2 linked regions of the Arabidopsis thaliana genome follow. The protein of the gene in region 1 interacts with the protein of each later gene in a biochemical or structural test. Each region holds a gene or a part of one and is shown in the gene's direction. Other genes may lie near its edges.

Region 1 (8,145 bases):
GTCACGCCAAAATCAAACAATACTATCTCCAAGGAACGGAGAGAGACCAAGTTGTGCCGGATCAAGGAGAATTGCAACTACAAAAAGTCCCGCCGGTGGTGGCTCTTCACGGAGCAATGATTTACTTAGCTTTCCAGGTGAAATTCGCCGTTAGAGTTCCTCGGAGAGCTGTCATTCTAGCGTTTAGCACTGCTTATCCTTCCAAGCTAGGCCGTTTGACTAAGCATGATGATAAAACTACAGTCATCGTCGATTTTTCCAAAGGTAATATAATGTATATACTAGTCTAATCTATACATGTTAAAAACAGGGGAGAGTTCAATAGTTGTATGTTCTTGGTCAATGCAGCTAGTGGAGCAACCTCCATAAAGACGACAACTTCTACGGAGAAGACAAAACATGGAGTAATGGCGATACTCGGATGGGGTTTCTTACTTCCTGTAGGGGCAATCCTAGCAAGATATCTAAGACATAAAGACCCTCTTTGGTACTATCTTCATATCGGTTTTCAGTTCACGGGCTTTATCTTCGGTTTAGCCGCAGTTATTCTTGGGATTCAGCTTTACAATAGGATCCAGCCGGATATACCTGCGCATCGAGGCATTGGGATCTTTCTTCTAGTCCTTAGCACTCTTCAGGTTTTGGCTTTCTTTGCACGGCCACAGAAGGAGACAAAGATGAGGAGATATTGGAATTGGTATCATCATTGGATTGGGAGGATCTCTCTCTTTTTTGGAGCAGTGAACATTGTTCTTGGAATTCGAATGGCGGATAATGGAGGAGATGGATGGAAAATTGGATATGGATTTGTTCTGTCAGTCACGTTACTTGCTTTTGTTGTTCTTGAAATATTCAGGATTCGTGGCACTATCGGCTCACCATCTTCTCGCAGCCCTCCCTCTTTTGAGACACATCCAAGTTCTAGTACTAGTGTTTGATTCAAGATCTTCTGTTTTTTTTTTCTTGTACATAAAGGTACTTTTTTTGTTTTCCCCATAATCATTGGTCACTGATTTTATAGTCCATATGTGTTGTAATTTTTTTTTTTTTTTTTTGGTTCGGCAATATGATTTTCAAGTGGAAATCGGTCTTGGTTTAGACTTTAGAGCAACATGGTGATATTTGTTTTTTTAAGGTTTGTTTCTTTTTGGATCTCAATTTGTTGTCATGTAAGTTGAGTTTTGAAGGTTGTTGTTCCTGGAAAGTGAAATATACGTAATTCTTTAATTCCTTATGAGTTTGTAAATGTGCATAGACGTCCCTAGACCCTAAGGCTAACATTATGGAGCGATTAACAAAAATATGGTCCTTTTGTATGCAAATGCAATCTCTCATCTTTCATATAAATCATGAACGTATAATTGGATGATAAGTTTTGAGTCTTATTTGAAATGAAAAAAGGATCATCTTCCTCCATTGTCTGGTAATGTCAAAATGTTGTTGCATGAGAAACATACAGTGTTCATATTGGGCCTAACTCGAAGTTGTTTCTTTTATTAATTGTCAAAATGTTCCACGAGAAACATCGTAGGCCCAATATGTAGCCCAACAAGCTTCGATTTTTCTAAATAAGTTGTGTGACAAGAAGAAAAACGAGAGAGTTATTTATTGATGCGCCACGTCAGATTTGATGAAAAGGAAGATTTCGACTTGGCGCTCTCGTACGCCTGAAAATTCGCAGTCTTCCCTCGTCCCCAATCCCTGGAGCCAAACACTGTTCCATTCAACCGCCACGTCAGCATATTCGTTTTTTTTATTTTCGTTTTTATTATTTGTTTAGGCGAATTAATTTCAGAATTAACCATAAAATAATAATAAGGAGAAATATATAAACCGACGACGGACGGTGTGTGTCTCCTTCATCAGAACACAAAGATCCTTCTCCTCCTCTTTTGTTTTCCCTTGCCGTCGATTTTAAGGTTTTATCTTCTCCGTACTGAAACCGACTGATAATTTTCTCCAGGGAATCTACGAGGAGGATTTGTTGTTTCTCCGTCGTTTTAGAGTTTAACGATTTCTCCGTCGTTTGATTTCTTAATTCTATCCTGTTGAGGGAAACGAGAATTTGGTTTTCGTTTTCGAATTTAGGGTTAGAGAAGCGGTTTCGCATTGGGTTCGTTGACTATTGAGCCAATTTGCGAGAGGAATTTAAACGTTACGAGTTTCTTCTTTTTCCTTCCGGAGGTCCGAAGTGCGAAATCTGTTTTGTTTGATGAAATTAGGGTTTTGGAATCGGAATTTGGATAGTCGTTTATGTTGAATAGGCGAGGATTGCTTAGGTAGGATATGATTTTGAAACGGACCTTGACGACATTCGAGAATCAGAATCTGAAGCGGTGCAAAATTGATTCAGAAATTGAGTATGGGAGGAAAAAGGGTGAGATTATAGTGTATAAGAAGAGACAAAGAGCAACCGTGGATCAACCATGTAGCAAAGAACCAGAACTTCTTACTAGTAGCTCAAGCTCCTTGACAAGCAAAGAAGAATCTCAACAAGTTTGCTCTGACCAGTCCAAGTCTTCGCGTGGCAGAGTTCGAGCGGTTCCTTCTAGGTTCAAGGACTCCATTGTTGGTACATGGAAATCTAGCCGTCGCAAGGGAGAGTCGACGGAGTCTAGTCATGATGACGACGACGTATCTCTGGGGAAGAAGGTCAAAGGTTTCAGTGGAAGCTCGAAATTGCATCGCAGCAAAGACTCGAAGGTGTTTCCACGTAAGGATAACGGAGACAGCAGTGAAGTAGATTGCGATTACTGGGATGTTCAAATTTCCTACGACGATGCTAACTTTGGTATGCCGAAAAAGTCCGACGCCTCGCGTAAGGGCGTGTACAAACCAGAGGAATTTACGGTTGGCGATCTTGTGTGGGCCAAGTGTGGGAAAAGATTCCCAGCATGGCCGGCTGTGGTGATCGATCCGATATCACAAGCGCCTGATGGGGTCTTGAAACATTGCGTCCCTGGCGCAATTTGTGTCATGTTTTTTGGGTACTCCAAGGATGGAACTCAGAGGGTAATCTCTTTAATCCTAATCTGTCTTCAAGCTGGCGTTTATTTTTACTATCTTTTTTTCTGAAAACTTGTGGTCATTAACAGGACTATGCATGGGTAAGACAAGGGATGGTGTATCCATTTACGGAATTTATGGACAAGTAAGTACATGAGACGCTCTTTCTGGAAATCTTTCATACTTGTGTGTTTGTTTCTTGTTCCTTACTAGTCTTTCATCTCTTCAGATTTCAGGATCAGACAAACTTGTTCAATTACAAGGCAAGTGAATTTAACAAGGCACTAGAGGAAGCAGTTTTAGCAGAAAATGGTAATTTTGGAGATGCTGAAATCATCTCCCCAGATTCCTCTGCGACGGAATCCGACCAGGACTATGGACCTGCTTCTAGATTTCAGGCACGTTTTCTTGACACATATTCCTTTTCTTTTTTTTGGTTAGATGTTCAAGTTTGCTCTTCTAATTGTTTTGGGAAGACAAAAGTAAATCAATTCTGGACAGTTCTATAAGCATCTTGTAGTGTCTACGTCTGGTGATATACTTTCTGTTCTAAGTCATGAAGTTTAAACATACTACATAGGCGTAGATGTACTGTTTGTATCTGACTCTTTTATAGTTACTGGAAATACCTTCCCCTAAACGATTTGCTGATTTAATTATTGTGTAGGGTTCATATCATGAGGACATAAGGACATGCGACGGTTGTGGCTCAGTAATGCCATTAAAATCTCTAAAAAGGACTAAAGACTCACAACCGGAAGAGCTTTTATGCAAACACTGCTCAAAGGTTCTTATCAAAACTTCCTCCCTCTTCAGTTTTCTTTGATCGACGGGAATTGAATCCAAATTTTTGTTTCAGTTGCGGAAATCCAATCAGTATTGTGGCATCTGCAAGAGAATATGGCACCCTTCAGATGATGGAGATTGGGTGAGAATATCTGTGACCATGTTTGGTGAAATACTGACCTGAGTAAGAAATTATAATATCTATATAGCTGACTTGATTTGATGTATTAGGTTTGTTGTGATGGGTGTGACGTATGGGTACATGCTGAATGCGACAACATTACGAATGAACGCTTTAAGGTGCCGTTATACATCGCCGTGCATCTTATCTTTTGATTTTAAGTATTGAAGACTATTGTCGAATGACTGTTCTAATTTGGTTTCATCTTAAGGAACTGGAGCACAACAATTACTATTGCCCTGATTGTAAAGTCCAACACGAGCTTACGCCAACAATATTAGAAGAACAGAACTCAGTGTTTAAGTATGTTGTTAACATCTCATGTTCTCTCACTTTAGTCTTCTCGAAAAAAATATCTTCTCCTGCTTTTATTATTTGCATTGTTCTATTGCTAATTCTTTAATTTGCAAAATTCCTCTTCACAACCTCTTTGGGACAGGTCTACAGAAAAGACAACAGAGACTGGGCTGCCTGATGCGATTACTGTAGTCTGTAATGGCATGGAAGGGACATATATCAGAAAATTTCATGCGTAAGTATTAGATGCATCATCTTTATTTCAATTTCCTCATTTGAGCAGGATTTTGTTTGTCCATGACTGTACAATGCAATGCCGTAAGATGATTTTTTCTCTGAAGACGACAATTCTGCGCTTGATCCTAGGCTTCTGTTACCATTCTCTTGTTGTTCCAGAGATTAAAACAACACATTTATCTTGGAACTATTGTTTTCAGAATTGAGTGCAAGTGTGGTTCATGTGGGTCAAGGAAGCAGTCACCAAGTGAATGGGAACGGCATACAGGCTGCAGAGCCAAAAAGTGGAAGTATAGTGTAAGAGTGAAAGACACAATGCTACCTCTAGAAAAATGGGTACATCCCTTATGCTTAACTCTCTCATAAACTTTCCCTTATATACCCCTGAAATTTACATGCATGATGTCTATAAGAAGTATAATACTGACAACAAGATATTACAGATTGCAGAATTCAGTACCTATACTCTAGAAACCCAGATGTTGGATAAGCAAAAGATGCTCTCTTTGCTAGAAGGTAGAGTATATCTTAATTCTTGGCGTCCTTCTTTTGGAGTTTAAAATTGCTAAGATACTTGCTTACTACTTATTTTATATGCACAGAAAAGTATGAGCCAGTCAGGGCTAAGTGGACGACTGAAAGGTGTGCTGTATGCAGATGGGTAGAAGACTGGGAAGAAAATAAAATGATCATCTGTAACAGGTTACTTTAATGGCATAATTTGGTTATACTGAATTCTACAGCGTTCTTATAACTAAACATGAGTCATAAATCTGACCAAATCTGTAAGCAGGTGTCAAGTGGCTGTGCACCAAGAATGTTATGGGGTAAGCAAATCTCAGGACCTCACTTCCTGGGTATGCAGAGCATGTGAAACACCAGACATTGAGAGAGATTGTTGTCTTTGTCCTGTAAAAGGTACTACTGCAGAATTAGCTCTCTTTATGATTTTTTTCCTGATCTTGCATTAGTGATGTTTTATTCTTGACTGTCCTGTCACAAGGTTCCATACAGTCATTCTGAGAATTCGCTTTTGGGTAGATGTGCTCTAAATTGAACTCACTTTCCATATTTCTAGTTCTTTCCTGAACTCTTCCATTATGTAGGTGGTGCTTTAAAACCAAGCGACGTTGAGGGTTTGTGGGTTCATGTAACATGTGCTTGGTTCCGACCGGAAGTTGGGTTTTTGAATCATGAAAATATGGAGCCTGCTGTTGGACTTTTCAAAATTCCAGCAAATTCATTTCTTAAGGTATAAATGAATGCTAGAAGTGGAAAGTATAACCAACATGTTCTATTAGAAGTTTTATTATATTATACATCATTCATATTTTCTGAAAATTCCTTTTAGGTTTGCACAATTTGTAAGCAGACACATGGTTCCTGCGTTCATTGCTGCAAGTGTGCAACTCACTTCCACGCAATGTGTGCATCACGGGCAGGTTACAACATGGAGGTTAGTCAAGTCCTTAAACTGCTTAGCCTCTGTGCTTATGATAATCTTCATTTTTCACGTTAAACCCCTTGCAAAGGTGTTCTGTCCTGTTAGTTAATCATCTTAGGGATGTGTAAGTGATGTTTTTGTCTATGGAATTTAGTTGCACTGCCTGGAAAAAAATGGTGTGCAGAGAACCAGGAAGTCAGTTTACTGTTCATTTCACAGGTTTGTTTCTCCGACATATTCTTTAACTGACCTGTTATGTGATACTGGGACCAACTGATCGCCTGTATCATTACTATGTAGAAAGCCAGATCCAGATAGTGTTGTAGTTGTGCACACACCCTCAGGAGTATTTGGCTCTAGAAATTTGCTTCAGAATCAATATGGGCGCGCCAAAGGTTCAAGACTCGTTTTGACCAAGAAGATGAAGCTTCCAGGTTTCCAAACCCAAACCCAAGCTGAACAGAGTCGTGTATTTGATTCTCTTTCTGCAGCAAGATGCCGTATCTATAGTAGATCAAACACAAAGGTATGCATCTGGGGATCTTGTTTATTCTTGGACGTTGGAGAGTCTTTCGTTATTAACTATTCCCTAGCAAAGCTACTACTTCATATCTTTTACTGCTGACGTTTCAGAAGATTGATCTGGAGGCTATATCCCACAGGCTTAAGGGACCAAGCCATCATTCTTTGAGTGCAATCGAGAATCTAAACTCTTTTAAGGCAAGTTTCTCATTCCGAGCTCCATTCATGTCAGTGTTTTGCTTTCTTGGGGCAACGTTTTCTGAATATCTTAGGAAGATCTTAATTTCCATTTACCTTGTTACACACCAGGAAGCAGATTTTACATCATTCAGAGAACGGCTAAAACATTTGCAGGTAAACATTGATTCATGAAGAGTTAATATTTTCTCCATCTTGTTATCCTAGAATATTTATAAACAATATATTATCTTCTTCAGAGGACAGAAAATTTTCGAGTCTGCTTTGGTAAATCTGGCATACATGGATGGGGTTTGTTTGCAAGGAAAAGTATTCAAGAAGGAGAAATGGTATTTAGTTTACGTTGTATTATTCGTGGTTTTGATATGGCTAAATTGAAATTCTTGAGGCAAACTAACTACTGATTATTAAAATTCTTGTGCAGATCATCGAGTATCGTGGGGTGAAAGTTAGGAGAAGTGTTGCAGATCTGAGAGAGGCAAACTATCGTTCGCAGGGCAAAGATTGTTACGTAAGTTCCGATTGCTTGCTTGCTTAGATTAAAACATTAACCGCTGCATCTAATAAGTAACTTATTGTCTAACAACAACAACGCAGCTATTCAAGATAAGCGAAGAGATAGTAATTGATGCCACAGACTCTGGGAACATCGCACGATTGATCAATCATTCAGTAAGTTCCCTAAATTGGCACACGAGATCAAAACCTGGTAATTAATACTAAGGATGTTTATGTCTTGTGCAGTGTATGCCCAATTGCTATGCTCGTATAGTGAGTATGGGTGATGGAGAAGACAACAGAATCGTCCTCATTGCAAAAACCAATGTCGCAGCTGGGGAAGAGCTTACGTAAAACATTTCTTCAGCTTCTCTTTTCATAAGATATAGATTAAATCCATATGCATTATTAACCTTGATCATGAAAACCTATTTCTCTACAGGTATGATTATCTCTTTGAGGTTGATGAATCTGAAGAGATCAAAGTGCCCTGCCTTTGTAAAGCTCCAAACTGCCGCAAATTCATGAACTAGAGCTCTCTTAAGTCTAAACCATTCTTGCAAACGTTCAAACTTGCTTTCTAATTGAACAGTAATGGCGGTGGGAAGCTAACCGATTTGTTTCCTCGGCGGCTAGCTTACGGGAAATCCCTTGACATGATGCTGGCTTCTTTCCGATTGATTCATTAAATGTACATTCAGCTAGATACTTTTCCGGCGTAGCAATTTTGTAAATGTCTAGAATTCACCGACTCTAAGAAAATAACTTCACAGCCAACAACCTAAAGTTCCAAAATGTTGAAGTGTTAATATAGCTTTTAACATTTTCCATAATACAGTTTCTGAATTTTCTATTAAAAAAAATCCATACTATCTTGATTTTTCATAATCATGGAAACCACACTCACTGGGACCCTCTCGGTTAATGCTACGTCTGTTGGTGCTAAACCGGGTTCTAACTAAAATTGAAAAGTATT
Region 2 (3,736 bases), on another chromosome or scaffold:
ATCTAAGAATATATATTACCCATTAAGAAATAAATGAAAGAGAGAATAAAATCCACAGCATTATATAAATATTGTAGCCCTGGGAGTTCGGATATATCGGTTTAATCGGTTCGGTTTATTTAGTTTTTCGGGGTTTTTGGATTTTTTAATTTCTAGCCGAATTGAACCGAACAAAAATTCGGTTCGGGTCGGTTCGGACATCGGTTTTTTCGGTTCGGTTATTGGGTATAAATTAAATTCCGGATTAAACCGATTTTTTTTCTAATTCGGTTAATTTGAACCAAATAAACCACAAATTAAAAAAATGGACTTACAAAAATGAAATCTAATAAAAAACAAACAACAGGCCCAATACACAAATATACAGTTACAATTACAAATCCACAACACAATTATGGGTCAGGTCCATTACAAAATTAGGGTTTTGAGTTTTGACAAAAAAAATATGTACGACTACAACTCCAAACTGCGACGTCGAGCAGTGCCTCTCCAATCTAGTGATCTACCATTCCGACGACGTAATGCCCTACGAGACCTGTTAAACGCCCGTTTGTTATCCATGAAGTAAGAAAAAACATGAGATGGAAGTGTAAACCATAAAAGATCCATAAAAATAATGGATAATCTCAGATTTGGAAGTGTAAAGCCTAACTCTAAAATTTCAGAAATTATAGAGACAGAGGAAGAGCTTAGAGAGCAAAGAATCAAACAAAACAAATGATTAAAGAGAAATAAGAAGAGTTTACCCTAAGAAAGTTGAGGTTGTGGGTTGAATCTCTGAGCAAAGGTTTTTTGTAAGACCAACTGAGATTAGAGAGAATGAAAGAGGCTTGGAAGATGATGAATTCATGAAGGAGAAGAGACGAGTTGATGATTACTAATTCAATCGAAGAAAAATATCAAAGTTTCTTTGTTGTTTTCGCAAGAGGCAGAGAGCCAAAAACGAAGAAGAAACCTAATTAGGTTAAGACTCATCAATTAACCTTATATATGGCTGCAGATTCTCGGTATGGGTGAAACCGATTGGTTCCGATTACCGAACCGACCCGAACCGACTTCCGAATTCTTAAATTAATTTGGCCGATCGGTTCGATCTCCTTAATTCGGTTGCTGCCGAAAACCAAAATTTTCGTTTTTTTCGGTTCGGTTTTCTCGGGTTGAACCGTTATCCCAGGCCTAAAATATTGTATGACTCTTGACCAAAAACTAGTTAGATATATTATTTATTATGACATATTAATATTAACTTAATATAAAATAAAAATAAATGTTCAAAAAACATGATCTTAAAGCTGACAAAGCTGATTTGATTGACTAATACTTATCCTACGGTGATTTTTGGTTCTTTTACTTTTTTTGACAATTATGGAGCTGGATGGAAAAAAAATATATATAAAATCATATATTATTAATAATGAGATAAATACAACGAATTAAACGGATCAAAGTTAATATTTCCAAAAGAAAAATAGAACAGAGTCCTAATTTCATTAATTTCAACTATTGAAAACAAAATTTAAAATCAATAGGATTGATTTCTATTTTTCTTTTAGAAAAACAAAATTTGAAACAATTTCCTAATTTCCCTAAACTTGCGACTTTTTAACAATCGACCGACTTATCAAAATTAGGGATTGTTTTATATATAAAGAGAGACGCATCTCTTTATTTCATTCATCGCTTCTCCAAAATTTTCTTCAAAGAACAAATCTCCCAAATCTAAAATCTTTCTCTTCTCTCTTCGTTTCCATAACCATGTCTGCGAAGAAGATTGTGTTGAAGAGTTCCGATGGTGAATCTTTCGAGGTTGAGGAGGCGGTGGCTCTCGAGTCACAAACCATAGCGCATATGGTTGAAGACGACTGCGTCGACAACGGAGTCCCTCTTCCTAACGTCACGAGCAAGATCCTCGCCAAGGTGATCGAGTATTGCAAGAGGCACGTCGAGGCTGCTGCCTCTAAGGCCGAGGCCGTCGAGGGTGCTGCTACCTCCGATGACGATCTTAAGGCCTGGGACGCTGATTTTATGAAGATCGATCAAGCTACTCTCTTTGAACTCATTCTGGTATGTTTCTTCTCTCGATCTGATTTGATTTTTCCATCGAATTTTGAATTTTGGGATTCTAGGGTTTTCGATTTGGGAAAATTAGGGTTTCGAAATTTAGGTGTTTGTTTCAGAAATTGAATCTGCTTGAGATTGATATTGTTAGGGTTCTTATGGAACCAATCATTAATTGAATCTATCGATTTGGATTATAATCATATCTGTGTTTTTGGATTCGGATTTTGATCTAATGGTTATGAATTTGGGATCTTGTGCAGGCTGCTAATTACCTGAATATCAAGAACTTGCTTGATCTAACATGTCAGACAGTTGCGGATATGATCAAAGGAAAGACTCCAGAAGAGATCCGCACAACGTTCAACATTAAGAACGACTTCACACCAGAGGAAGAGGAAGAGGTTCGCAGAGAGAACCAATGGGCTTTTGAATGATTGATCTTCAGAGAGAAGAATCAAAAGCAGCAAGCAACCAGTTTCTTCTTCCTTATGTTTATTGCCGTTTTCAAGTGTTGTTGATGACTTGCTTTTTAATATTCTTCATGAATCATGACTATCTTCTTCCTCTTCTTTCTTTCTTATCAAGAACCAATGTTTCTTACTCTTTGTGGGATGGATAATTTGTGCTTTTAGATAATCTTCAAGAGTGATGTTGGTTTGTCTTACAAAATAACTTCTTTCAATTGTCTTGCCAATCGCCACAGAATGCTAATTTGCACGATTCATTTTAGGAATGTTCATGTGTAAATAAAAAGAAACTGAATTTGGCAGAGTCTGCAAGCAGAATGTGAAGGATCATGACGACTACTCATTGAAACCAATGGTCACCAGTTATGCCCTGCTCCTGCTCATCTACTTACATAAATATCTGCATCACGTATTTGTATCTTGTCAACATCTTCTCAAATACTAACATAATCAGCATCACCCATTCGTCAACATTCGATAACATGTGGGCTTTGTTTGCATATAAGAAAACAAAGTTTCCACTCAACCGAACGTGGATCACATGTACATCAATATAATTACTTTAATTGTTTGTCTGGCTAGTCAAGTGGTCTCTCGTCTCGTCATTGTGTATCTTATCTTTACTATGAGACTGAAAGAGATATCTTCTTTATATACAGTAACACTCACATTGTGGTCACTCGAAAAGAGCTAAAGAAAATGGAAGATTTGAAGCCAAGTGCCGCTAACTCGTTACCATTGACACTGTTAGGCTTTCTTGAGAGAGCAGCCACCGTGTATGGAGACTGTACCTCCATCGTTTACGGCAATTCCACCGTGTACACATGGCGAGAAACGAATCACCGTTGCCTCTGCGTCGCGTCTGCTCTGTCTTCCATTGGAATAGGAAGATCCGACGTTGTCTCTGTCCTATCTGCTAATACTCCGGAAATGTACGAGCTCCAGTTTTCCGTTCCGATGTCTGGCGCGATCCTTAACAACATCAATACCCGCCTCGACGCGCGAACCGTCTCTGTTCTTCTCCGCCATTGCGAGTCTAAGCTGCTCTTCGTCGACTTCTTTTACTCCGATCTCGCTGTCGAAGCGATCACGATGTTGCTCAATCCGCCGATTCTCGTCCTAATCGCCAATGAGGAGGAGGAAGAAGGAGGAGCTGAAGTAACGGAGCGTTCAAAATTCTGTTACTTGTACAGTGATCTAATCACTAG

What was found.
Region 2: the proteins of SDG14 (region 1) and SKP1 form a complex in vitro, tested with the Arabidopsis thaliana proteins (one study listed by BioGRID).

The regions. Positions count from the first base shown.
Region 1 is NC_003074.8:22,850,690-22,858,834, reverse strand, and holds SDG14 (SET domain protein 14), read left to right. Parts: upstream 1-1,862; 5' UTR 1,863-2,286; coding exon 2,287-3,012; intron 3,013-3,095; coding exon 3,096-3,151; intron 3,152-3,235; coding exon 3,236-3,404; intron 3,405-3,673; coding exon 3,674-3,793; intron 3,794-3,865; coding exon 3,866-3,934; intron 3,935-4,023; coding exon 4,024-4,092; intron 4,093-4,184; coding exon 4,185-4,276; intron 4,277-4,412; coding exon 4,413-4,505; intron 4,506-4,707; coding exon 4,708-4,843; intron 4,844-4,950; coding exon 4,951-5,023; intron 5,024-5,109; coding exon 5,110-5,209; intron 5,210-5,300; coding exon 5,301-5,425; intron 5,426-5,613; coding exon 5,614-5,759; intron 5,760-5,858; coding exon 5,859-5,963; intron 5,964-6,105; coding exon 6,106-6,170; intron 6,171-6,251; coding exon 6,252-6,477; intron 6,478-6,584; coding exon of another isoform or gene 6,585-6,587; coding exon 6,588-6,827; intron 6,828-6,910; coding exon 6,911-7,000; intron 7,001-7,095; coding exon 7,096-7,182; and 8 more. Other genes in the region: AT3G61750 (Cytochrome b561/ferric reductase transmembrane with DOMON related domain-containing protein), read left to right, coding at 1-264, 349-938. UniProt on the Arabidopsis thaliana protein: Histone methyltransferase.
Region 2 is NC_003070.9:28,514,960-28,518,695, forward strand, and holds SKP1 (S phase kinase-associated protein 1), read left to right. Parts: upstream 1-1,559; 5' UTR 1,560-1,755; coding exon 1,756-2,064; intron 2,065-2,321; coding exon 2,322-2,495; 3' UTR 2,496-2,937; downstream 2,938-3,736. Other genes in the region: AT1G75945 (uncharacterized protein), read right to left, coding at 454-535, 747-850; AT1G75960 (AMP-dependent synthetase and ligase family protein), read left to right, coding at 3,228-3,736. UniProt on the Arabidopsis thaliana protein: Involved in ubiquitination and subsequent proteasomal degradation of target proteins. Together with CUL1, RBX1 and a F-box protein, it forms a SCF E3 ubiquitin ligase complex. The functional specificity of this complex depends on the type of F-box protein.